6 linked regions of the Neurospora crassa OR74A genome follow. The protein of the gene in region 5 purifies or fractionates together with the protein of the main gene of each other region. This does not show direct contact. Links are inferred from orthologs where the notes say so. Each region holds a gene or a part of one and is shown on either strand. Other genes may lie near its edges. The genes, in order: rpn-3, NCU11053, rpn-6, rpn-7, rpt-3 and rpn-5.

What was found.
Region 1: the proteins of rpt-3 (region 5) and rpn-3 purify together in Saccharomyces cerevisiae (affinity purification with mass spectrometry; 4 studies listed by BioGRID, with this or other methods). This does not show direct contact. The link is inferred for Neurospora crassa OR74A from reciprocal best matches to the Saccharomyces cerevisiae genes RPT3 and RPN3.
Region 2: the proteins of rpt-3 (region 5) and NCU11053 purify together in Saccharomyces cerevisiae (affinity purification with western blotting; 5 studies listed by BioGRID, with this or other methods). This does not show direct contact. The link is inferred for Neurospora crassa OR74A from reciprocal best matches to the Saccharomyces cerevisiae genes RPT3 and NAS2.
Region 3: the proteins of rpt-3 (region 5) and rpn-6 purify together in Saccharomyces cerevisiae (affinity purification with mass spectrometry; 6 studies listed by BioGRID). This does not show direct contact. The link is inferred for Neurospora crassa OR74A from reciprocal best matches to the Saccharomyces cerevisiae genes RPT3 and RPN6.
Region 4: the proteins of rpt-3 (region 5) and rpn-7 purify together in Saccharomyces cerevisiae (affinity purification with mass spectrometry; 4 studies listed by BioGRID, with this or other methods). This does not show direct contact. The link is inferred for Neurospora crassa OR74A from reciprocal best matches to the Saccharomyces cerevisiae genes RPT3 and RPN7.
Region 6: the proteins of rpt-3 (region 5) and rpn-5 purify together in Saccharomyces cerevisiae (affinity purification with mass spectrometry; 6 studies listed by BioGRID). This does not show direct contact. The link is inferred for Neurospora crassa OR74A from reciprocal best matches to the Saccharomyces cerevisiae genes RPT3 and RPN5.

What each region holds. Positions count from the first base shown.
Region 1 is NC_026507.1:3,274,541-3,278,729, forward strand, and holds rpn-3 (26S proteasome non-ATPase regulatory subunit 3), read right to left. Parts: upstream 2,801-4,189; 5' UTR 2,134-2,800; coding exon 1,941-2,133; intron 1,870-1,940; coding exon 548-1,869; intron 465-547; coding exon 321-464; 3' UTR 27-320; downstream 1-26. Other genes in the region: NCU02223 (hypothetical protein), read right to left, coding at 3,487-3,744, 3,872-4,189. UniProt on the Saccharomyces cerevisiae protein: Acts as a regulatory subunit of the 26S proteasome which is involved in the ATP-dependent degradation of ubiquitinated proteins.
Region 2 is NC_026501.1:9,336,028-9,339,173, reverse strand, and holds NCU11053 (26S proteasome non-ATPase regulatory subunit 9), read right to left. Parts: upstream 1,968-3,146; 5' UTR 1,824-1,967; coding exon 1,671-1,823; intron 1,610-1,670; coding exon 1,202-1,609; intron 1,124-1,201; coding exon 995-1,123; 3' UTR 501-994; downstream 1-500. Other genes in the region: ran (GTP-binding nuclear protein GSP1/Ran, variant), read right to left, coding at 17-76. UniProt on the Saccharomyces cerevisiae protein: Acts as a chaperone during the assembly of the 26S proteasome, specifically of the base subcomplex of the 19S regulatory complex (RC).
Region 3 is NC_026502.1:2,996,535-3,000,497, forward strand, and holds rpn-6 (26S proteasome non-ATPase regulatory subunit 11), read right to left. Parts: upstream 2,472-3,963; 5' UTR 2,211-2,471; coding exon 2,026-2,210; intron 1,954-2,025; coding exon 1,871-1,953; intron 1,796-1,870; coding exon 789-1,795; 3' UTR 501-788; downstream 1-500. Other genes in the region: NCU01597 (hypothetical protein), read left to right, coding at 1-348; NCU01595 (SOF1), read left to right, coding at 2,990-2,995, 3,076-3,963. UniProt on the Saccharomyces cerevisiae protein: Component of the lid subcomplex of the 26S proteasome, a multiprotein complex involved in the ATP-dependent degradation of ubiquitinated proteins. In the complex, RPN6 is required for proteasome assembly.
Region 4 is NC_026506.1:2,285,886-2,289,814, reverse strand, and holds rpn-7 (proteasome regulatory particle), read right to left. Parts: upstream 2,801-3,929; 5' UTR 2,445-2,800; coding exon 1,980-2,444; intron 1,900-1,979; coding exon 1,085-1,899; intron 1,002-1,084; coding exon 803-1,001; 3' UTR 486-802; downstream 1-485. Other genes in the region: NCU03971 (mRNA cap guanine-N7 methyltransferase), read left to right, coding at 3,243-3,929. UniProt on the Saccharomyces cerevisiae protein: Component of the 19S cap proteasome complex which acts as a regulatory subunit of the 26S proteasome, involved in the ATP-dependent degradation of ubiquitinated proteins.
Region 5 is NC_026507.1:3,146,038-3,149,972, forward strand, and holds rpt-3 (26S protease regulatory subunit 6B), read left to right. Parts: upstream 1-1,135; 5' UTR 1,136-1,519; coding exon 1,520-1,716; intron 1,717-1,784; coding exon 1,785-1,883; intron 1,884-1,945; coding exon 1,946-2,915; 3' UTR 2,916-3,608; downstream 3,609-3,935. UniProt on the Saccharomyces cerevisiae protein: The 26S proteasome is involved in the ATP-dependent degradation of ubiquitinated proteins. The regulatory (or ATPase) complex confers ATP dependency and substrate specificity to the 26S complex.
Region 6 is NC_026501.1:3,064,196-3,068,319, reverse strand, and holds rpn-5 (26S proteasome non-ATPase regulatory subunit 12), read right to left. Parts: upstream 2,801-4,124; 5' UTR 2,563-2,800; coding exon 2,479-2,562; intron 2,411-2,478; coding exon 2,354-2,410; intron 2,290-2,353; coding exon 1,570-2,289; intron 1,514-1,569; coding exon 890-1,513; 3' UTR 444-889; downstream 1-443. UniProt on the Saccharomyces cerevisiae protein: Acts as a regulatory subunit of the 26S proteasome which is involved in the ATP-dependent degradation of ubiquitinated proteins.

The sequences.
Region 1 (4,189 bases), about 130 kb from region 5:
TGAGGAACAAACGAAAAAAAGCATGCATGAAATGTTGATGGGTGGTTGTGCCCGATACACAGTGGATACGTCTAATGAACAAGTGAGGCAAGATGGTAGGTGATATACGGTTGTAGCGTATTTTCTCTAGCATAAGGCTCTGTCTCTTCTCTCTTCCCGTCTTATTTCTTGGCCGGCGATAGCACGATTCCATACCAGATTACTAGATACAACAGGGATGATGATGATGACTATTCCCAAGACCAAATTATAGGTATTGGGCGGGGTCTATCTAGGTAGTTTAGACTCGTGTGTGGTGTGTGTGTGTGTGTCTAAACATCTTAAATGCCCTCAAAGTCACCACCGAGATCATCCTCATCCAGATCGCCCTCCTGTATCTCCTTGGCCAAATCACGCTCGCGCTCTCGTGCTTCCTGGGCATTCTTCAGCTCGAGACGGTGCTGGTTCATGGGGAAACGCATGGCCTGCAAAGAAAGAATTTGTGAGCAACAAATCTATCATAACTTCTGGAATTTGAAAGGGGGAGAAAGAAAAAAAAGAAACATACCTTGACACTCTCATCATGCAGAGCCAAGCAGGCGCGGATACGGTCATGGAACGCCTCGGCCGGTTCGCTGGTGGCATACACGTCGCCCACCTCCTTACTCTTCATGAAGCCGCGCTCCCTGTCGAGCGTGGCCTCGATGACGCCGTCCCTGATCGCCTTGGCCACAATGTACTCGGCACTCTCCTCGCTGCCGAGGTGCAAGCGGATGCAAATGTCGCGGAGCGAAATGCGGCTGTAGCTCAAACTCATCATGCGGATGCCCGTCTTGATGACGTTTTGGCGCAGACGCAAAATCAAGCTATAGGTGCCGTCGCGGCGGAAGGTGTCGGCATGCTGGGCGATGGTGGTCTCGAAGTCCTCGAGGTTGCCGACGCGCACGGCGCGGACGAGCAGGAAGTACGGGTGGAGAGTGGCCTCCATGGTCAGTTGACGGAAGATGGCGCGGTCGGGGATGTCGCCCATGAGGAGCTCTACGACGAGCAGGAGCTTGGTGGCCGTCTGGCTGAAGCCAAGTGCGCAGGCGCTCGAGGGAGCCTTCCGTGTCGCCGCAGTGAGATGCTCATGGGCCTCGGTGTACCGTAGCTGAATAGCCCGGACACGGCCGAGGTAGTACAGGAAACGCGCGACCTGGTTGTTGGCAGCGTTCTCGGGGAACTGGGTATGCTGCACCAGCAGATCGGCCTGGGAGATATGCGACGTGAGGAGGTAGTTCCGGAGCAGGAGGACAATGACGGAAGCCTGGGTGTCGATATCCTTTCGTAGCACGGCGGTTCGGAGAGCGGCGAGGAGGATCGGGCGGATCGACACAATCGGCGACTGGGGGGAAGGCGGGAGGGGAGCGAGCTGCTCGGCAAAGAGCGAGAAGTAAAAGTACACCTTGGCCGAAAGGCTGTCTAATGTGCGGCGGTTGAGGGACTGGATACGCTCGGATAGGAAACGCGACAGGGCGAATCCGCGCTGGAACTGTTTGGTGTCGTAGAGGTGGACCTGCGCCAGAATGCCTAGGAAGATGTCGATCTCAGGAATCACCTCCTTGGGGTCCTTCTTGCCACCGTTCTTCGCTGGCGACTTGGATCCCGAGTCGATCTCCATGTCTGAGCTGCTGCCGAGAGTCACATTTGGCCGGTCGACAGCGAGCAGCAGGTGCTCGGCAACTTGAGTATTGGGTGAGGACGCGGAGAAGGTTTCTGAGACGACTTGTGCGAGGATGTCGGGCGTCAGGCGTTTCCGGATCGACGAGATGGATCGCAGTGCCCGTAGAGAGAATCTGGGATCGAACAGGGCAACAGCACGGTCTAGCAGCGCAAAGTTGCTCTTGATGTCTGCGCAAGCGAGTGATGGTTAGTTCAGCTCACAAAGATAGATGAAGCTGGGGACTGGGAAGGTACCGTACCGCTGATGGTTTGGGCGACGGGGTCGACCTGGGCCTCAACCTCGCCGGCCTTGGTGTCGTCTTCCATGGCAATGTCGCCATCGGCGTCGTTGGGAGGTTGCGCAGAGTTCTGCTTGTTCTTGGGAGGGGGGACTACGACGGTCATTTCGTCCTCGCCTTGCTTTCCCGACTTCTTGGTATCCTTGTCCGTCATGTCGAGATCCTTTCCACCCCAATAGCTTCCGTGCTCAAGTGGTTCCTTATCTGGAGCGGCTCCGGGTTTGGTTATAGGCTGGCTGGGCTGGAGGTCGTGGTTGCTGTGTTGGTAACGGCCCGATGGTCGATGGGAAACGGGGTGATGATGTGGTGGGGGTTGACGGTTGCGTTGGCGCGGTGGGTGATGTTGGAATGCTGTGGTGCGGTGATGATGACGCCGTTTTGGTGGGCAACCTAATAGAGCAGAGGTATGAGTTCGAGTTGCTTGGGGCGATCTCGCGAAGCGCGCCCTTCTTGCAAGCCTGGAGCAAGCACCTTTAGCAGCAGCAGCTGGCAGAGTCGCAGTGGATCTAGCTCTAGGCGGGGAATGGAGCACTAGAGGTAGAGAGGGAGGTATCTATGGGGGTGACTTCGTCGTCGGCGTTGTTAAGCGAGGGCCAAGGGCAAACTGCTTCGTCGTCGTTGTCGATGGATAACTACCTAGGTAATTCAATCCAAGCTGTGTACTCGGAGTTCGGTGCAGGAAAGGAAAGTTCAAGCTTCACAGACCCGTGTTTTGCTTGATGGGAGTTGTTGAGCTGATGATTGAAAGGAAGTACCTACCGGTCACGGTTGGGCCAGCATACAAGAGCGGACGACCAACTGAAGGGCCGCCCTGTGCAGTGAGTGAGTGCTATGGTGGCCTTCGGACAAGCTCCAGAAGAGCTTCACACATCTAGGCATTGTGATTGGCCAGATTGTCTTGAATGGGTCCACTGCGGCTCGTCACTGACGTTGTTGATGTGCTGCCTGTCGACGACGTCCAGGCAGGCTCGAGGCAGGGTACTTAGGTACTTAGGTACACCTTACATTACAAGTACTACAAGTGTAGGGTAGACAACATCCAAAACATCTTACCACCTCGACCACCAATGTAGACTTTTACAAACTGAGTTGGTCTTGGGAGACATGGCTCCTATTTCAGGATGGTGTTAGCAACCATTGCCTATACAATATATGGTCCTCGCTTTCTGTCTGCATTCCCAAGATGGCATTATCACGGGGTTGAATATGCATATGCCTCCTGAACCCTGCATCATCTGGCATATCACGGCAAATCTGCACTTGCTTGCAACCCATTATATTTGGAGCTTGTTTCGTAACCCATAAAGGATTGATGCTTCAACCTAAGCCATATTATGGGTAGCTCATGCCAGGGATAAGCATACAAGTATCCCGAGATGAATGTATTTCCTCCGTCTCATCCGGTACGCCACCCTTTTCCATTTCCCACCCCCAAAAGAATTACCACATCCATGCAAACAAGCGAGACCCGAAACCTCTTGTTCATTCTGGTCTGAATACCCTTCCATTAAAGATCCCCCTTGCCCGGCATGACCTTGGCGGCCTGCACCGCGCTCATCTTGGTGATCCACTGAGCATTGGGCTGCACCTTGCGAACCGTCCTGAGCTCGTCACTAGAGTAGCCAGGGATACGGATGTTGTAGGTACGCTCCAAAACAAGCTGGATATCGCGGATCTCAAGAACCTTGGATCCTCTCTCCTTTGCATTGCGGGACGCCGCGTGGAGGACACTCTCTGTAAAGCTATCGGCGAGACCAAGGACGGACTGAAAAGGAATGCCACGTTAGCTGGTTGTGTGGTGATGACTTTGTGAGTTTGCTAAAGGGGGTTAAGGAATGACCGCGGACTTCCGCAAAGAAAAACAAAGGATTATCAGGTTGCAAACAACGTACCTCCTCAACCTCAGGTGTCAAGAGATTTCCGTCTTGGCCCTCAGCCGTACCACCGCACACCTGCCGAACCAGCTCGTCCAGCTTCTTCTTGTTCAAAACCCTCTCACCCTCGCCCTCAAGCTGGTAGGCCGGGGTCTTCTGCAAGACGGGCTGATTCATGACGCCGACACCGGCTGTGCCACCGCTCAGAGTCGGGCGACCAGGCGGGCCTGCAACGGGCGTGGGAATCTGCGTCGCCTTTTCCGGCAGGGACTTGGCGATGGGGAACTTGGAGGCCTGAATGGTCTGGGGCATAGCGTTGGGGTGAGCGTGGGGATG
Region 2 (3,146 bases), on a different chromosome or scaffold from region 5:
TGGGATGTGGACTGACCTTGCCGGTACCACCGTCACCGACGAGGACGAGCTTGAAAGTAGGGGTCGCGGCAGCCATTGTGTATGATGCTTAATATCGCAGGCGAAAAGAAGCAGGTAAACAAGTCCTTTTGGGAAAGTCAGCTATCGACCGGTCGGAGCGACACAGATGGGCGGGGTATCGAATGGTTAAATAAGGGCGAGGGAGGGAGGGATCCAAATCGAACTAGAGACGCACCTTTGCGATTTTGCAGAGGGTGGGAAAATGGGTGTGGTCAAAAAGAGAGGAAGCAGTGGACCTCAGACAGCCTGGTGGATGATGTTGTGTTTTCAAGGCACCGCCGCTCAAGGGAATGAATGGGCCACCAGCCTTGACGAAAAACTCGTTGGGCGGCGGGGTGCTTGTTAGGTGACGGGCACGTGACCCGCCTGGTCAGTGCGGTACCCTCAACCAACTGAAGGCAACGAACCTGATGCGCGCAAAGTCAAACCGATCGATGAGGCTGCCATTCACTCCGTCTTGCCGCAATGCCGTCCGTTCGTGTCTTATTTTCTGCTCCTGACGTGCTGACGTGCTGACAGTCGCGTGTCGGGAACAAAGAACTGAACCTACCAGAGGTTTCAAGCGTTGGGCTACAGTGAATGCGCACTCTCATGGCATCGACCTTATCCATCTATCTCTTTTTCCATTTTGTCATCAGGTTTGCTCGTTCAAGCTCGTTTGTTTTGTTTTGGTTCTGGCCTCGTTACTACGGTGAGGGAGAACCCCCTGGCGTCTTGGCTTTTTGGTTCATCTTTCGAATGCCAGTCAGTCTCAGATCCGTCGTTTCCTTCATTACAAAGCAAATTCCCAAAGAGGCCTCATTTCCAGGCGGCAATGGCGCATCCTGATTCTTCCCTAACATATCTGAGCGGATTTGGTGCCCAATGACGCTACTCTTGTATCACAATCTTCTTCTGCCTAGTTCCAGGCCATCATCTCGCCCCGGTTGCCTTTTCATAGTGGCAAGATATGGCATCCAAGCATACCTCTACCGCCCCAGTCGCGGCGAGGAGTCAACGTTAGCCGAAGCTCTTGGGTTCGTGTCCCTGCCGTGCTCCGAGAGACCTTGACGAGGATATTTTGCTACGAAGTATACCCGGTTAGCTCAGCTTTCTCTAGGTTGGCAACTACTGAGGATGGACAGAGCCTGGCACGACTTACCCCTTCATTACCCTGAACACACTCTGCGACCTTCCTTAGGCTGTCATGGTTGGACCGGTTGACATAACCAAAGCTGCGAATCAGATCACCGGCCTTGAGACCTGCTGTGGCCGCCGGACTGTTATCAACGACACTGTTGACTTTGGCAAATGGCTGCTCCAGGACTTCGGGTACCGAGTCTGGCAGCGGTGCGGATTGATCCGTGGGAACAGGTGTTGACTCTTCGTCGTCGTCCTGGATGCTGGCGAAATGCTCATGCAGACGCTTCTCGATCAAGGCCATCAGCTCCTTGTAGTCGTTGCGAAGATGGATGATGCGCGACCTTGTTGTGCGGATTTGCGCAACATCGATATCTGATCTGGGAAAGCCATCGGGAGTAAGGAGGTTTGTGTTCATGTCAACGCCGTGCTGGAATATTTGATCAGTCAACTGGCATGATGAAGGCTCGAAGGATATAAACTGGACCAACCGAATCAAGCACTCCGCTGAGCGCCTTGAGCTCCCCCTCGATAGCATCCTTCTTGCGCTGGAGCTCAGCAAAGGATAGATGGGCAGCACTGCCGTTGGTGACAGGGGCAGAAGTCGGTCCCGAGGGGACAGTAGGCGCATGAAGATTGCTCATGGTGAAGGGTTGTAATTTCGTAATATCTTATAAAGGGTAAGCCTCAGTTGTGGAAATCACCAAGCATGATGAGATCTCGATCTCAGATTGGAGTATGTATGTACCTAGCTGGCTCGTGAATTACCTAGGTAGGTACTTTGTAGAGTACTCACATAACCCGACCCCATACCCAAAGCTTCCTAACCCAAGTGGATACGCTAAGACCGACCCCACACTATAGAAAATCTCTCAATTAACTATCACCCCTTTAATACGTCGCATACATACCTTTTAACTTTCCCTATAGAGAAATAACCGGCGCTTTTGATCCCAATAAACGAAACTTACCTACAAATAAGAAATATATAAGTCCAAATAATATTAGCCCGAACTCACCCTTCCGTAAACCTTCCACAACAATTCGTAATAACACCTACGTAATCTATCCCTAATTAATCTCTAATTTATTATATTTAATATAAAATAAGTACTAACCCTATTTCTAACGCTAATACTTTAACTATTATTACTAGGCTTAATTTAATTAAATAGAATAATAAAGTATTTAATAGACCGTCTATTATATTCGAATTATAGTAAATTATTAGTATAGTAGCCGAATTTAATAAATTAAAGGATTTAAAGGATATAACCCCTCTTAATATTATAATACTTAATAATTTCCTAATAAATCTTTATTAATATATTTTAAATATATCCTATATTAATTAATAATTAATCCTATAATATTAATTATATAAAAGTTAAAACTATAGGCCTAACGCTTATTTTATTTAATAATATCAATTAATACTCCATTTTTATCGAAATAATATACTATATAATTACTATTCTAAAATACCCTAAGTCTTCTACTCTTAGTATAGTATATATTATAAATATTAATAGTTTAACCGAAGATTAGGTTAAGGCTCTATAGAGCGAGGTATGTAACGGTAGTATTTTAAAATAAAATAGTAATTTAAATAAAGTTAATATCTAATTACTCTCTTATATCCTAGATCCAATATTGTATTGCAAGGAAAATGCTTGCGAAGGAAACTTCCTCTAATTATTTGAATAACGCTATCTATTATTATACTATATACAAATATATTGGTATTAAATATTGTAAATATTTAGACTATAGAATTTAGTAGGTGTATAAATAAGGGTTTATACCTATAGTCGACGAAGAAGTTATAAACCTTTTATTTTAAATCCGCCTTCAATAGGATAAAGTCCCCTTAGCTAGGCGAATTATTAAGTATAGATTTATCTATAATTTATCCCCGGCTTTAATTATATTACTATAACCTAATTAATGGTAATTATTATTTATTA
Region 3 (3,963 bases), on a different chromosome or scaffold from region 5:
CTCTACTACCCCCACTCCCCCACCCTCTCTTCTTTCCTGCACCAAACGTACCGCCCCTCCCCTCAACAAACCACCTACGACCCCGTCACGCGTCTTCCCATTGACGAGTCGGTGGTGATTGAGCAATGGCATTTGGACGTCGTCTACAAGTTTCGGGAGATGTTTAGACGGGCGTGGGGAACAGATGAACTTTACGGTGGTGTGTTTGCGATGGATGAACAGGAAAAAGGGGGGTGGAGTGAGGGGGAGTTGGTCAGACGGGTGTATGCGTTTTTGGTGGGCGAGAGGAGGAGGAGGGAGGGACGGGTTGATAGGGGGAGGAGAAGGGGGAGGGGGGTTGTTTGTTAGTTTATGCGTCGTGATGTGTATTGAGCATGGGAAAGGACATGAAAGAATGGGCATAGATGGATGGTTGGATGGTTGGGAAGGGGAGAAGGGAAGAACAGTGAAAGAAGGAACTGGATACCCAAAGTATAACTGGATGGACGGATGCATGAGTAGGAGATACCATGTTGTTAAATGGTTCTTTGTACAAACATTGGTTGTTTCTAGTTTCTGAAATTTGGACATACGATATCACATATCTGCAACAGTTTGAAAGACCAGACCACCGTCATTGCTCAAAACTTAGACTTATGATCATGCGGTTTATCGTGTTTGTTTCAGTACGCCCGACTAATACCATATCTAAGCGTAATGTTACAGACGAACCCCATGTTGTAAACCCCTAAACCATCCATCCATCCATCCATTTAAACCCTGCTTCTGCCTTGAACCTCGCTTTTTTTTTACTCAAGCTGCGAGGCCTGGTTGGTATAAAGCACATCAACCACATTGCTAAGCTTCTCAATGGTCTTCAGCGCCGCATCGTACGCCTCATCCCGGTGCGTCTCATCGTAAATAATGAGGCAGCCGGCGCCCTGGTCCAGCACTCCAATGATCACCTTATCCAGGATCATCTGCGACAGCTTTCTTTCCACCTGCTGGGTGTCCAAGCCGACCATCTTGGCGATATGGTCAATCTCCACGCGGCTGAAGGGCTCAATGACCTTGATCAGGTTTTGCTCCAGCATGGCATCGTACAAGCGTCGCAGGTGGTTGCGGATGAAGGTGTCACTACCCAGCTCATAGCGGTAAGCCGCCAGGGCGCGCTCGTACTCCTCGAGAGATCGGTTGCTGTGGGCGCGGGCAATGGCCTTCATGGCCTCGAGCGACTTGCCGGCGTACTTGACGGCCTGCTTGGAGGTCATGAGCTGGTTGACGTCATCGGCGAGGTTGAGCATGATCTTGCAGAGCAGCATGTACTGCAGCGCGGCCTGGGCTCGCTGCGGCTCCTCCTGCGTGTGGTAGCCGTCCAGCGCCTCGATAAAGTAGCTGAAGGCCGTGTTGAAGTCCTTGTCCTCGGCGTGCAGCATGCCCGACTGCATGTCCAGGTTGGCCTGGAGCAGAGGAGGGGTGTAAACGGAGGCGGCGCTCGTGCGCGCGCTGGTGAGGGCGGCGCGGGCCTTGGCAATGTTGCCGAGGGCGTGGTATACCCGCGACTCGAGCAGCTGGACTTCGACGAGGACGAGCTTGTCGTCCATGCGCTTCAGCTCACGGAGGAGACCGTTGATGAGCGTCAGGGCATCGTAGTAGGACTGCTTGGCCATGTACAAGGCGACAAGACGGGTTTCGAGGTTCTGGCGGAGGAAAGAGCGGCGCTCTGATGTGGCCCATTCTATACACGACTTGGTGACGGAAATCTGGATGTCGAGAGAGTCGGGGATGGCTTCGAAGAGGTCGAGGAGCTGGCGGACTGCATGTATCAACCAGTGTTAGTATCCTCATGAGCTTGTATAGCGCGTCAACAAAGCTGATGGCGGGGTCGTACCAAGCTTTGCCGTCTTTGCCTTTGCGAACGAGGAGAGAACTGTGCGGCTCTGGGTTACGAGGTCTACAAGGCCTTGTGAGTTCCTGTACACGGTGATGGGAGGTTAGTGACCGTACCCCTCCTCGATGACCACGACATACACCAGCCACTCTTACTTCTCGTCGCGATAGAGCTCTCCCAAGTGAATCAAAGCCGTCTCGTATTCCCGGATGGCCGCGTCAGAGGTGACTGATGGCGGCTTGGAGATGATATCCTTGTAAATCTGCTCGGCCTGGCGGGGGTCGGTCGAGACCACCTTCTGCGCCTCGCGCACTCTCTCTGATGCTTCGCCCTGGGCCATGGTGTCGTGTGCTGGTTGTCCCGGTCGCCAAGTGGTAAGCGGTAGTAGTATAAATCGAGAGTTTGGCTATCGGATTGGATGTGATGGTGATTACTCGAGGTCGCGGGGGGATATGCGGCGTGTCGGTGGTCGCAGAGTGTCGGCTTGGAAGTTGTGGTTGTTGTGGTGTTGAAGTTGGAGCTCAGGTTGTTCTGTCGTGACGAACCTCACCACCCGTCCTCTGCTGGAGCACAGCTGTTACCCAAGTCAAGTGCAGGCGGCATGTCCACTAACGAGACCTCTGTACACTACGTACCACCGCTAGGTAGCCAGGCGCGACGTAATTAGCTGGAGACATCCACCTACAGATCCCTGTCAATTCACGGCAGGCAAGCCCAGCTCTCGGTAGCTCAGGCCCTGTCCATCCTTTTGGCAGCGAAGCTCTAACATTCCAAGCCTAAGCGTTTAGCAAACTGCCAAGAAGGCGGTCAAGATTCTTGCCGCCAGACCCCGCCAAAATTTCTCCAGAGGAAGGGGAACGGGAGCTGTCAAACTGCCCGTGTCCGACTGTGCTCCCCAATTGGCGACAGACGCTCCCGGCATCCATCCATCCATCCATTCATTAATTCCAACGTCGATAACTGTATCACAGCACCTGTGCTTTGCGACAAGGTGTACCGACAGACTTCAGCCATACCCGGCCTCATCATATACAATTATTCACACTCGATATCCGTCGGCCTTGGTAGCCTTCTCATCCACGACCCCTTCAACATCATCAACAGAGAAACACCGTCACCATGAAGGTACTTGGGCCTACCACACGCGACGCCCATCAAGATTCGCAAACCCACTTCTAGGCTCACCACTGACACTTCTACAACAGATCAAAGCCCTCAGCCGAAACATCTCGGCCCAGCAGGCCCCCGGTAACGACGTCACCCGCGCACCCCGTAACCTTGCGCCCGAACTCCATCCCTTCGAGCGCGCTCGCGAGTACAAGAGAGCCCTCAATGCCGTCAAGTTGGAGAGAGTCTTCGCCAAGCCCTTCCTCGGCCAGCTAGGAAATGGCCACGTTCAGGGTGTCTACAGCATGGCCAAGGACAAGAACTCGCTACACACAATCGCTTCCGGTTCGGGTGACGGTATCGTCAAGGTCTGGGATCTCACAACACGGGATGAAGCATGGAAGGCTGCCGCCCACAACAATATCGTCAAGGGAATGACCTTCACCAACGACAAGAAGCTTCTCACATGTGCCACCGACGGCATCAAGCTTTGGGACCCTTACACCAAGACCGACTCCCCAACGCCACTCGCGACATGGCAGGAAGGTGGTCCATACACGGCTCTCTCGTTCCACCGCAACACCAACTCCTTCGTTGCCTCTTCGGGCGCCGGCTGCATTCGTATTTGGGATCTCGAGCACAGCACGGCTCCTCAGACGATACAGTGGCCGAACCACAGCGACACCATCACCGATGTTTGCTTCAACCAGGTTGAGACCTCGATCGTGGGTTCCGTCGGCACAGATCGCTCCGTTATTCTGTTCGATTTGCGCACCAACATGCCCGTCATCAAGACTGTTCTCAAGTTCGCCGCCAACCGCATTGTCTTCAACCCCATGGAGGCGATGAACATGGCTGTTGCCTCAGAAGATCACAACGTCTACCTCTTCGACGCCAGGAACTTCACCAAGGCGCAGAATATCCAAAAGGGCCACGTTGCGGCGGTTATGGACGTCGAGTTCTCTCCTACCGGCGAGGAGCTCGTG
Region 4 (3,929 bases), on a different chromosome or scaffold from region 5:
GGTGTCGAGTGTCCTCGAGATGGATGGATGGTCTGACTATGACGCTGCGCACAAGGGGGGCGCTCGTTCATCGGTTCTGCAGCCCCTCAAGTATCAAAGCTGCCGCGGAAGAACAGGGTGTGACCCTGGAGATATCATCCCTTCTCTCCCTTGTAGAATGTCACCTGCCCTGTCCGCTCATCTACCTTAGGGATAGATATGTTGCCCATCCCAGCGCCGGGACCGGATAATGAAGTTGAGGGGAAACATGGTACGGAAAAAGCGAGCGAAATCTTGTTTACCAAGCAGAACTCGGAGTATGAAGGACAAAAAAAGAGCGATTTGGTTCGGCTTTTGGTTTGGTTTGGTTGGTTGGTTGGTTGGTTATGGGATCTTTGATGATACCTCAGCGTTTGTACTTTTTGCTAGCCTTTTGCATTGCACGTATGTACGTAGCCTTATCCAGGATACGAGGGACATACGAATACAAAAGTAAAAAAGCCTGGACAAGAAGAAACGGAGTCTTATGAACACATGATGCAATATCCGTGACAATGAGGAGCAAGTCGTTTTGTGTCATTTGTCCTTACTAGAGACGAGTTAGGCCCTAACGACAATTTAATGTGATAGGTTGCTTTAGGCTCTATTCTCTTCTGATTTCTCTCCGCCTTTCATCCATCCACTCAATCCATGCCCTTGATCATTCATATCCCCTTCCCTTCTTCCCAAGGTAATCGCTAACGATAGCACAGCTCGCTTATACATCATTGACCTTCCCCTTGTTTCACTGCTAGCTTCTAACTCTCTTCAAGTTGGTTCTCTACTACGCCCTTTCGCTTCCCCTCAACCGAACAGCCTGTCCGTACTTCTGCAGCTTGGTAATCAGCTGGTCACCCTGGCGAACCACGTCCTGATACTGCTTGTTCTTGTCGTCGGGCCGGTTGGTCTCGATAACACCCTTGCCATTGACGCGGTCGATGGTGCAGGGAATACGGCCGGCGGCGATGAACTTTGCTAGGTCACTGTTTTTGTGATGTACGATCAGTATATATAGAACTTGTGTCGGGGGGAAGAGGGGTAGAACAAAAACAAGGGGAAAACCAACCGATCCAAGAAATCCACGGTAACACCAAAGTCGTTGGCCATGCTATCCAGTCCCACAACGCGATAGCTCTGCAGCAGTTGCTGGTACGCGCGCAGGCGCATCTCGCGGATGAACCAGTTCTTATGCTCGTGCAGGTAGCGGTCCTGGGTGAGGAATTGCTCCTCCACCAGGGCCAGCGCCTGGAAGAAGAGCTTGTACCGGCCGTTGTACAGGCTGCTAACCAGCTGCGCGAGCGGGTCAAAGTCGACCGCCATCTCCGCCTCAGGCTGTTCCGTGCTGCTGCCGAGCGTGGTCAGGTTAACTACAGCCGTCCGGGCCGCCACGGGGGCGTTATCGGCGTCCTGCATCGAGGCGTCGGCTCCCGGGCCGGCCGAGATGGCGCCGGTCAGTGCGAGCAGCTTGTCCTCTCCGTCGCCAAGAATCGCCTTGATCTCGGGGGCGTCCACGACCTTGGACTTGAAGTCGACGCGCTTGAGCGAGACGGAACCGGCGAGCACGGCGTAGACCACCAGGTTGCTGTAGGTGCAGAGTTCGTACGAGGTAAAGGTGGACAGACTGTCGAGGAGCAAGGGGGCGGCGCCGCTGTAGTTGCGCACGGTGAGCAAGTGCAGACCCTCGTAGGCCTTGAGGCGGTTGCGACGGTCCCAGTCGCCGCCCGATTCGACAAGCGACTTGGCGCGCTCGACAGTCTTCTGGACTAGCTGCTTGTCGCCAAAGAAGAGGCCGAGGCGGATTAAGGCGAGGACGAGATCGATCTTGGTACCTAGAATGCTCGTCTTCTCGAGCAGATCTTGGTGCGCGGCGATGGCTTTTTCCTGAATAGGAAGAGTGTATGCTTAGTATATGTCGGTTGGTGGGAGTGGATGGGTAGCTAAGTGAACTTGTAGTGACCAACCTTATCGCCAACTCGGGCCCAGAACTCGGCCCTCTTTCCCTTGGCAGCCTGGATCTCTGTGTCTCCCGCCTTCTCGACAGCCTCATCTTCCTCTTTTTGGAACTCCTCAAGCTCCTTCTCGTTCTCGGCCTGCAGCTGCTGGTACAGGTTCTCATCCCACGGTAGGCTTAAGCTTGTGGTGGGTTTGTGGGTCGCGATCATGCCGGCGGCGATGCTGCTCTTCCTACCCAACCTTCCGGCACCGGCAGTGTTGGAGCCGCCTTCCCCAACAGAGTTAAGGACACCCTCGGTAGGGTGCGCGAGGTATCGGTAAAAGGGCGCCATCTTGTGCTCGGTGATGGCATCTTGAAGGTTCTTAACGGCCGCTTGTTGGGCAGGGCGGGCGGCGTAGGGGTTTGTGAGGGTGAAGACATGCTGGGCGAGGGGCAGCAGAGGCCATTTCGCGTATTGAGGATCGGAGCCCATTTTGTAGTTGTGATGGGTGCTAGCTTACGAGCCAAGGAGGGAGATGGGAGAGGAGGATGCAAATGGAAGACGGTCCGGTGCTGGTCAGTGTCCGTCGTCTGGTAGAAGCACCCCGCTGGAAATCGGCAAGCAGCTGATGGAGGTGGATGCCGGCTTAAGATGGGAAGTTTCGCGGTGTTGAAAGCTCTTGGAAACTGGATCGCAATGTGTGACTTGGCCTGGCGCTGTGATTCTACCAAAGATGCCGGGTCGAGGTGAGGCTGGGTGGTGGTGATGTCTGTGGTTTAGTTGTGGTGCTCCTTGAATGGTTCGGAAGGTCGATAGAGTAGCTGACCTCACTGGAGAGTGACCAAGGCCCCCAGAGCTCGCGCGTCAGCACTGGAAAGTGGAGACAGAGCTTGGAAGGCGGGCCAGGCCTGCAAGTGGAGCCGCTGGAACAGTGCCCGGGCAGGCACACTTCATCGGCTCAAACACCGACCGACCCATGCTTGCATCCTCAAAACACTTGCATCCCGACTTCCTTTCCAATTGCTTTCTCTCCTCGACAACAACAACAACAACAACAATAACAAGAGCTTTCAACTTCGACATACCGAATTTCGAGTCCCAGAATTCACTTTCAGGATTTGCCTGTGTCTGTACTCGCATCAATCGATATCAACAGTCAAAATCACAACTCACACCACTCACCGTCGCATCAGTTATTCTGCTGTTACACGAAGCCTGTACGCTTGCCATAGTTGTTCTTGCCGATGATCAAGTCTCCTTGCGAGACCACACCAACAGTTTTTTCCAGAAATGTCAGGCTACGATGGTTACACCAGTTATAGGTCCACTCGCAAGAGGCAACGCTCAGAATCGCCCTACGACGACGACCGCAATGGCCGCAACGAAGACCGTCGATACAAGTCTGCGAGGCATGACGAAGATGAGGACGACAACGATGTCCTCCCACAGCCGTTTGATGCCCGCAAGTTAGCTCCGGCCAAGAGAACACAAACCCCCACTACCAGCGGCGAGCCTAGAAAGCAGAAGCGGCCTGGCCAACGTGCCCGCATCACGGAAGCCGAGCGCGAACAGATTCGTCAACGTCAGATGGAGCGCGAGCGCCAGGCTCAGCGGGAGGCAGAAGCGGCCGCCGAAGCTGAGCGCCGCAACGCGGTCAATGACGTCGTACGTGCCCATTACAATGCTGTGCCCGAGCGTGGCCGTGACTGGCGTAAGACGGACAGTCGCATCAAAGGTCTCCGCTCCTTCAACAACTGGGTCAAGAGCTGTATCATCCAGAAGTTTTCTCCTGACGAAGACCACTCGCCTGGCGCTCGTGAGCGGGGAATCAGTTCGAACAATCAGCTGTTGGTGCTCGACATTGGATGCGGCAAGGGCGGTGATTTGGGCAAATGGCAGCAGGCGCCACAGCCCGTAGAGCTCTATGTTGGGCTGGACCCAGCAGATGTCTCTATCGACCAGGCGCGCGATCGGTAT
Region 5 (3,935 bases):
ATTCATGGACGCACGGGATTACACCGGATGCTTGAAGGGGTCTCTTCCTTGCCTGCGTAGGGGACCCGAGGATTGACGGGTGGATGGAGTTCAGTTCAGTTGCATGTCTATGTAAGTCTGCACTTTCCTGCGCTTACAGTAAGTATACCGCTCTGCAATTCATGTTGTACTTTTACATAAAGTTCCTGAATCGTCCTTTGTCGTTATCGTAACTTCACACCGAGACACGCCGGATGACGGGAGCCCAGGCTGATCTGCTTCAGGGCTTAAGATGTTCAACCCCAGTTCCTCAGACAGTCACCGGCTACGCACGCTCTACTGTACTGTATAGAGAAAAATAGTGTATCGAGTCAAGCCAGCAATTTAACCTTTGGACTGCCGCAATTCAAACCCCAACTACGCAACCCTCTCCCTTCTCATTCATCATACGCCTCGCGATCCCTCATCAGCACCGCTTCATGGCCATGATGCGTTCAGACGGGCCCGAGCCAGGCAAGGATGTGTTAGCTAACACACGGGATGCAGGGTGGTGTATGGTGACCACAATAGCATATCATCGCCGCATCATTCGATCCAAACAGTGGAGAAACTGGTATCGGCCGTCTTCGGAATGACAACTCGATCCCTTATCGCGGTAGTGTACGTTGAGCCACAGAGAAGTGATGTTACGACGATGGGATCTGCCATATCTCTCAACCTTAATTACACCACGTCGGGTATTGCGATAGCATGCAAGACATATCAAACAAATAAGAGACGATTGTCAATAGTGTAGAGGTCAAGCCAGAGACAAGTTACGGGGGGAGGACGGCGGACGACAAGCCGACCTGGCCGTCAAGGTGACACTTCGTGACGCCTAGCAAGGGTACCCGTGTGGATGTGGGGTTGAGAAAGGCTGGAGTCGCTCAACTGCGATGGTGGCACCCAACTTGAAGTGGAGGTCGACCTGCATGGAGGGGGGAGCCACCGACAAGGCTCCCGCCGCTTCAGTTCAGTTCAGTCCAATCTGCACTGTCCGGCAGTCACCCCTTGACACTGTCCAACAGCCCCACTTGCAGCTGGAGCGTCTCTGGTGAAGTGCGACTTTTGGCTACAAAAAATGGAGCATCTGTCATCGATAAGTGTGGCACTTATACAAGCTATATTGTACAAAGCAGGCACCGTAGCTGTGCTTGGTAGTCCACTATAACTGCCAGAACGTGGTCATCCAGCCAATCACTGTGCTTATGGCAGCACCCGGCAACGCAGGCTCCAGATGAATGACGAGCCACAGCTAGCCCAGCTTGCTGTTACTAGCAACAGCGACCACTGCATCAGCGACTGCTAGCACCGACAACCTACTACTGACACGCGCCACAAGGCGAACCTCGACGACGACAACAGAACAACAAGAAATACCACCCGACCGATCCCCCAGACCCACGTCAATTACAATCGCGCATCTGAGCGCTCGCGATACAACACACGGAAACATATCGATCAAGCCATTTAATACCATCACAAGAAAACATCCGCCAAGATGGGCGACGTCCTTGTCGAGACCCCGGCCAGTGTGACCCAGCCTCAAAAGAAGTCCGCCCCTTCGGCGATCCCCAACATCGAGACCTTCGAGGGCGTGTCAACAGAGGGCGGCGATGACTACATTACCTTGAAGAAGCTTCAGAGGCAGCTAGAATACATCAAGCTGCAGGAGGAATACATCAAGGATGAGCAGAGGTATGGTCACAGAAGCTCCACGCGCTGAGAGCTTGATGAGGAGGGGCTGACAACATGGTATCTGGCAGGAGCTTGAAGCGTGAGCTTGTACGTGCCCAGGAGGAAATCAAGAGGATTCAAAGTGTCCCCTTGGTGATTGGACAGTTCATGGAAGCTATCGATCAAAAGTATGGCCGCCCAATGCAACCCCCCGTCTTCAAAACTGGCCCAGACTAACCCTTCCTCTCAGCACGGGTATCGTTCAATCCAGTACTGGCTCAAACTACGTCGTCCGTATCCTTTCGACTCTCGATCGCGAGCTCCTCAAGCCCTCATCCTCCGTAGCGCTCCACCGTCACTCTAATGCCGTCGTCGATATTTTGCCGCCCGAGGCTGACTCCTCGATTGCTATGCTCGGTGCCGACGAGAAGCCCGACGTTACATATGCCGATGTTGGAGGGTTGGATATGCAGAAGCAGGAAATTCGGGAAGCCGTTGAGCTGCCCCTAACACACTTTGATCTTTACAAGCAGATCGGCATTGACCCCCCGCGCGGTGTCCTTCTCTACGGTCCTCCCGGTACCGGCAAGACAATGTTGGTCAAGGCGGTCGCAAACTCGACGACAGCGAACTTTATCCGCGTCGTCGGTTCCGAGTTCGTACAAAAGTATCTCGGTGAGGGTCCTCGCATGGTGCGCGACGTCTTCCGCATGGCTCGTGAGAACGCGCCCGCCATCATCTTCATCGACGAAATTGATGCCATTGCGACCAAGCGTTTCGACGCGCAGACGGGTGCCGATCGTGAGGTGCAAAGAATTCTGCTCGAATTGCTCAACCAGATGGACGGTTTCGACCAGACCGCCAACGTCAAGGTGATCATGGCCACCAACCGTGCCGACACCCTCGATCCCGCCCTGCTGCGTCCCGGTCGTCTTGATCGCAAGATCGAGTTTCCCAACCTGCGCGATCGCCGCGAGCGCCGTCTCATCTTCACCACGATTGCTGGCAAGATGAGCTTGGCCCCTGAGGTCGACCTTGACAGCTTGATTGTCCGCAACGATCCTCTCAGCGGTGCCGTCATCGCTGCCATTATGCAGGAGGCCGGTCTGCGCGCAGTACGGAAGAACAGGTACAACATCATCCAGGCTGATTTGGAGGACGCCTACAGCAGCCAAGTGAAGGGTACGAGCGACGAGAACAAGTTTGATTTCTACAAGTAAACCATCGGCGTCATGGGCTAGCTGTGTTGGGGTCGAGGACCACGGAACATGTGGGAGATTGCATTTTGGGTGGGTTGGTGCTATGCTTCTTGCTGCCTTGGGAAAATATAGTTTGTGCCCCAGATCAGCAGGGACTATAGACTTTCATAGAAGCGAACCAATTTGTACACTAGCGAATAAATCTAGAGCGGTACCAACATATATATATATGTGCGTACCTCTCTGGAGTTGCTCCAACTGAAAAAGTAGTAACACCCAAACGAAAAGAAGCAAGATGCCCTGGCTCCCAGCTGATACTATTTACATGTTCAGATCAACTTGCTCGGCGAAATTGAGTTCTCAGTGCGCTTTCTTTCTCTCCAGGTCATGGTATGCCACCATTTATCTTGATACATATGTAGATACATCTACGGCTGTATGGTGGTTCTCCGTTCCCGAAACGCCGTAGCTATAGCAAATCCCATTTAAATGAAGGGAGGATATGTCGGAAAAATGTAATGTGCTTCAATATAGATTCTTGTCTACTGAAAAATGATAAGGTCGGCTTGGAGAACATTTCTTGTCAGGGGGGAGGGAGGGGAAGAGATGATAAGAAAGGGTAAGACACCGTATCTACAGCATGTCCTCCCTTATGGATGGCAAGAGAGGCCAGGGTCGGGTCGTACTTGGGTATTCCAGCGAGTAAAATCCGATAATACTATCCTACATACATATTGATAACAGGACCTTGAGTGGTTACCTCAAAATTTTAAGTACCACTCAGGGCGTCTACACTATGGTAGTTCCTAGATATCGTTGCCGTCACTTGACATTCATTAAAAAAAAAGTGAAGGAAAAAAAAAGGACTTATTGTTTAAACTTCAAAATAACCTCGATGCTATTTGAGGGGTAAAGGGTGTATATCCTCCATGTGACTATTTGTAACTACTACTTGTAACTACCTACTTGGGATTGTACCTAAGGTAGGTATCGTTGTAGTCAGTCTAACACACTCACTCAGTCCCCTCTCCCGCCGCTCAC
Region 6 (4,124 bases), on a different chromosome or scaffold from region 5:
GTAGGCTGTTTGTGTGCTTTCTGGGCGACACTTGGGAGTATCGGCATGAGTGAGTGGGTATAGTGATGGTGTAGTGTACTGTATTTCAATTTCTGAACGTGGAAGACTGCACTTTACGGAGACATCAACTCGGGAGGAACGACTACGAGGAGTTTCCCCACATCATAACAGTCTCTACCTATGCTCAATCGACGATGGCCATGATGTGCATCTGACGGGTTCCCATCGATTGTTCCCGTCCTGGCATGTCATGCTCGGATCATGGCATGACATGGTAGCGCCGGCTACTGCCTTGGTTATTGGTTGATGTCTTGGCCAATATGCATGCCGATGTTGCCGGGGGCAGCGGGGGTTCAAGACGACCGGGGGTCCGGGCACGCGGCTGGCACTCTTGATACCTCCAGTCTCACAACGATACATATCACGCAAAGCCTCAAGGCGTCCGCTAAAGTATTGGGCGGTTCATCACTGTCCACTGGTGAAGCTGGAGAGATGAAGCCCTTTCGTATTATCACTATTTATGCGGGCTTGATTTTCGAACAACCTGCAACAACCTACGGCATCACTTGCGTACAGGCAACTGGAGCCTTCCGTATGCTGGACATCTCGTTTTCTACCTGGCAGTAAACTGCGCTCCCTTCAACCGGGATATAAGTCATAAATAATTACGTCCCTTGTGCTCCATAGTAGTCATGTCTATTCATACAAAGCTGCTAGTTCTTGCTGTAATGCATCCAGCCTTGCTTTGGCCCACGAAGTCTCTGCCGGGAAGATGGCGACTAGGGAGTAATTTGACTCGACGGCTTCTCGCCTCGCCCTATGGCCGCGATGGTTACCGTCTGTTTCTGACCACAACTGGGGTCAGTGCAGTAAGGAAGCTTGAGCTTCTCTAGCGCGCCGCCGCTTTCTCCTTACTGCTCTTCTTTGACGACTTTGCTCCGGGTTGGATTCTTGCCATCATTTCCTCCTTGGTAATCAGATGGTCAATTCTTTCCAGGTGGCCTAGCAAGCTCTTCATGTTGAAGCTCCACTCGTTGAGGATATCGTCCGCATCCCGCGGCTTAGCAAAGCTCACGATGCGCGCCGGGCGGTCGATCTTGGCATAGACCGTTTTGGACGTCACGAGCTCGCTGATATACTTCTCCGTCTCGTCCTCGGTCAAATCCAACAGCTGGGTAAGGCGATCCACACGAATGCGCGTGTAATACTTGGCCACCACACGCACATTATGCTCGATGACGCGCTTGCGCAGGTCTTGCCAGCGCTGGAAAGCCTTGTCGTCGGCTGACTGGTTGGGCTCCGAGTCGAAGATCTCGGTGCTGCAGAGGTGTGGGCCAAAGATTTTGGAAACCTCGGGCCAGCGCATGAGCTCGTGGACGGTAAACAGCTTCAACAACTCGGCATCCTGAGGGACCTGTGCGATTCGTGGGTCCTTGTGGATTCTGTGAAGGAGATCGTGTTGCTCGTTGTCGTGAGGGGCAAGGATGATGAAGTAGATGATTCTTTGCAGGACCTGTCAACCCATGTTAGTCTAAGAAGATCGCCATGTGGTGTGTCTGAGAAGCTTACGGCCTGCAACTTGGCGGGGTCCTCCTCTACTGCCTCGGTATCCAGCACTTGACGGTAGTACTTGCAGACGTCGAGGTATCTTGAGTCGTGCTTGGCCAAAATGATCTGTTGTTCGTAGTATCGCAACTTGAGGTCGGTGACATCATCTTCCTTCTCCTCGGAAACCTCCTCACCCCTGGCCTTCTTGGCCTCCCTGTCCTTCTGTTCCTTGTCGAGCTGCTCTTGCGTTTTCTTGGGCCTGCGCGCAAGGTACTTGGTGCTAATCTTTCTGCTGAGAATGCCCGCCTGTGTCCAGTCCTTGCTCTCTATGCAAAGCGCCACCTGAGCCAGAATGAATTCCGTCTTTTCCCTCCTGTCCATGGAGCCAAATGTCTCAACCTGAAGCTCGCACAGGATATCGGTCGCAGCCTTGAGATCGCCCTGCTCTTTCTTGATGTCGGAGAGAATCTTGGTGACGCGTGCGCGCTCAACCTCGAGAAAGATCTTGCCCTCGGTAACGGTGCGCAACGTCTCGATGACGGAGAGCTTGGTCTCCAGGTTCGGGGTTTCTGGGAGGAAGTCGATGACGGTCTGTACCATCTTGGTGATGGCTTGTTTGAGCTGGCCATGTTTCTTGGAGAGAACAAGGGTCTGGTCGTTGAGCAAGCTCCAGTCGCCTGCATTCTTGCAGATGGTAACGATAGCGACCAGGATGCGGGATGTCGATGCGAGGTCGGAAGCCTGTCGTCGGCGAGTGGTCAGCGTGAAGGAGCGGGGGACAAGGTAGGTGGTCCAGCGTGCTTACCTGGCGCGTCTGCTTTTCGAGGACAGAAAGCTTCTCGATAGCCGCTTGAATGTCTGTCTACAAGGGTGTTTCATTATTAGTATACGGTCTGCAGACGGTGGCAACCATGGGAGTTTTGCGATTACCTTGGCCAACTGCTCGGCCTCGGGCAGCAGCTTGTCGACTTCCTTGGAGAAGTCCTTCTCCGGCTTGAACGCAGGCTCCGCCATGATGTGCAGTATTGAGGATGTGTGGATAGGCGCTGTCAGACTATTTCAGGTATCGTGGGCTGGGCGGCGACTACACTGCGTTCGCGATGGGTTCGTGTTGTTGATGTTGTGATGATTGAGGGGCAGTTCGTTTGTTAGGTTGTAGGTTGTTTGGAGACTGAGGTGCTCTTGGAGGTACCTTGAGTGTCGTCAGTCCAGCGATTGGCGTAGTGAGGTGCTGTGGTTAGGTCGTCACGGTAGCTGCCCTGCTGCTGGAGTGGGACCTGTCACTGCTAGCAACCCAAGCACACTCACTGCAGCGGTACGTACTTGGGGGTTGGAGGGCGGCCTGGTGTGGGTCCTTTTCTCCCCCCCTCTTCATTAAAGAGGGGGTAAAGTAATTGTGGGACAGCGTTTTATTATGGGACAAGGCCGATGGGTACCATATAGATTTGCTTATTAACGCCCTGTAAAATCGCTTATTTGCATCGTAAAATCGGTAATAGCGTTGCAACAAAACCGTACCCTAATTCGTACAATTTTATTGCGTAAATCTATGAAAAATAAGCAGTCTATATATATCTATAGATTAATAGTAAAATTGTTAATTTACCGTATAATACCCGTAAATTTCGATTAGTACTTTAAGGAGTTGGACGAAGCGTCCGCTAGCTACTGTGGCGCCCGTATATATCTTAAAGCTTATTGGCGCTTTAAAACCCTTAGAAATAGGGTAACGAAGCTATTAATTGTTAAGGATATTACTGCTATTACTAGTAAATCCCGTATATTGATCTTTTATTATATTAAATCGCTACGCGAATTCCAAAAGCCTGCCGTCTCGTCGCACCCAATAGGAAAACCCTATATACTAATAAAAGCTGAGGAAAGTACTATTATATTGTACGTAATATTCTACTTTCAAGGACGGTTCCTAGCGTTATACTAAATAGTTATTATAGCGGCAAATCGATTACGCTTATTATAGGGTACACCGGAGACCTACAATACAATATAATTAGCTAGCTTCCTCAAAGACTATCTAGAGTTCAAAACTACTATTTACTGTATAGTTAATATTAAAAGAAGGTTTTAGGAATTAAATAAGGAGTCTATTAACGAGTAGTTTAACGAGTACGAGGTTATTATTAAGAAGTACGAAGTTGAAAGAGGCGATATTTAGAACTATAATGAGATAGGGGTAAAATTCGGTTGCGTAGCGGGTGGGCGAGTAAGGGTAATTGTATTAAAGGAGCTAGTAAAGTAAAAGCTAGAGATTAACGATATTATTAATTGCGAATCTACTACGCTTATAGTAGGAGTAAGTGTAATGGGGTACGTAGTATTAACGTACTTAATATTTAAGACCGACCTAATAGAAGATTTCCTTATTAATAATTTAAATAAGGGGGTTAGATTTATTAAATTGCCGATTAGCTTCTCAAATGTAAAATTTACCTTCGATTAATTAAAGTACTTTAACTATTATTCTTTTTACTTATTATTGACTTTTATATAGTTAAAGGAGGAGGACGGTTATAAATTGGGAGAAGAAGGGTTCTCTTTTACTAAGTAGTTTAAGT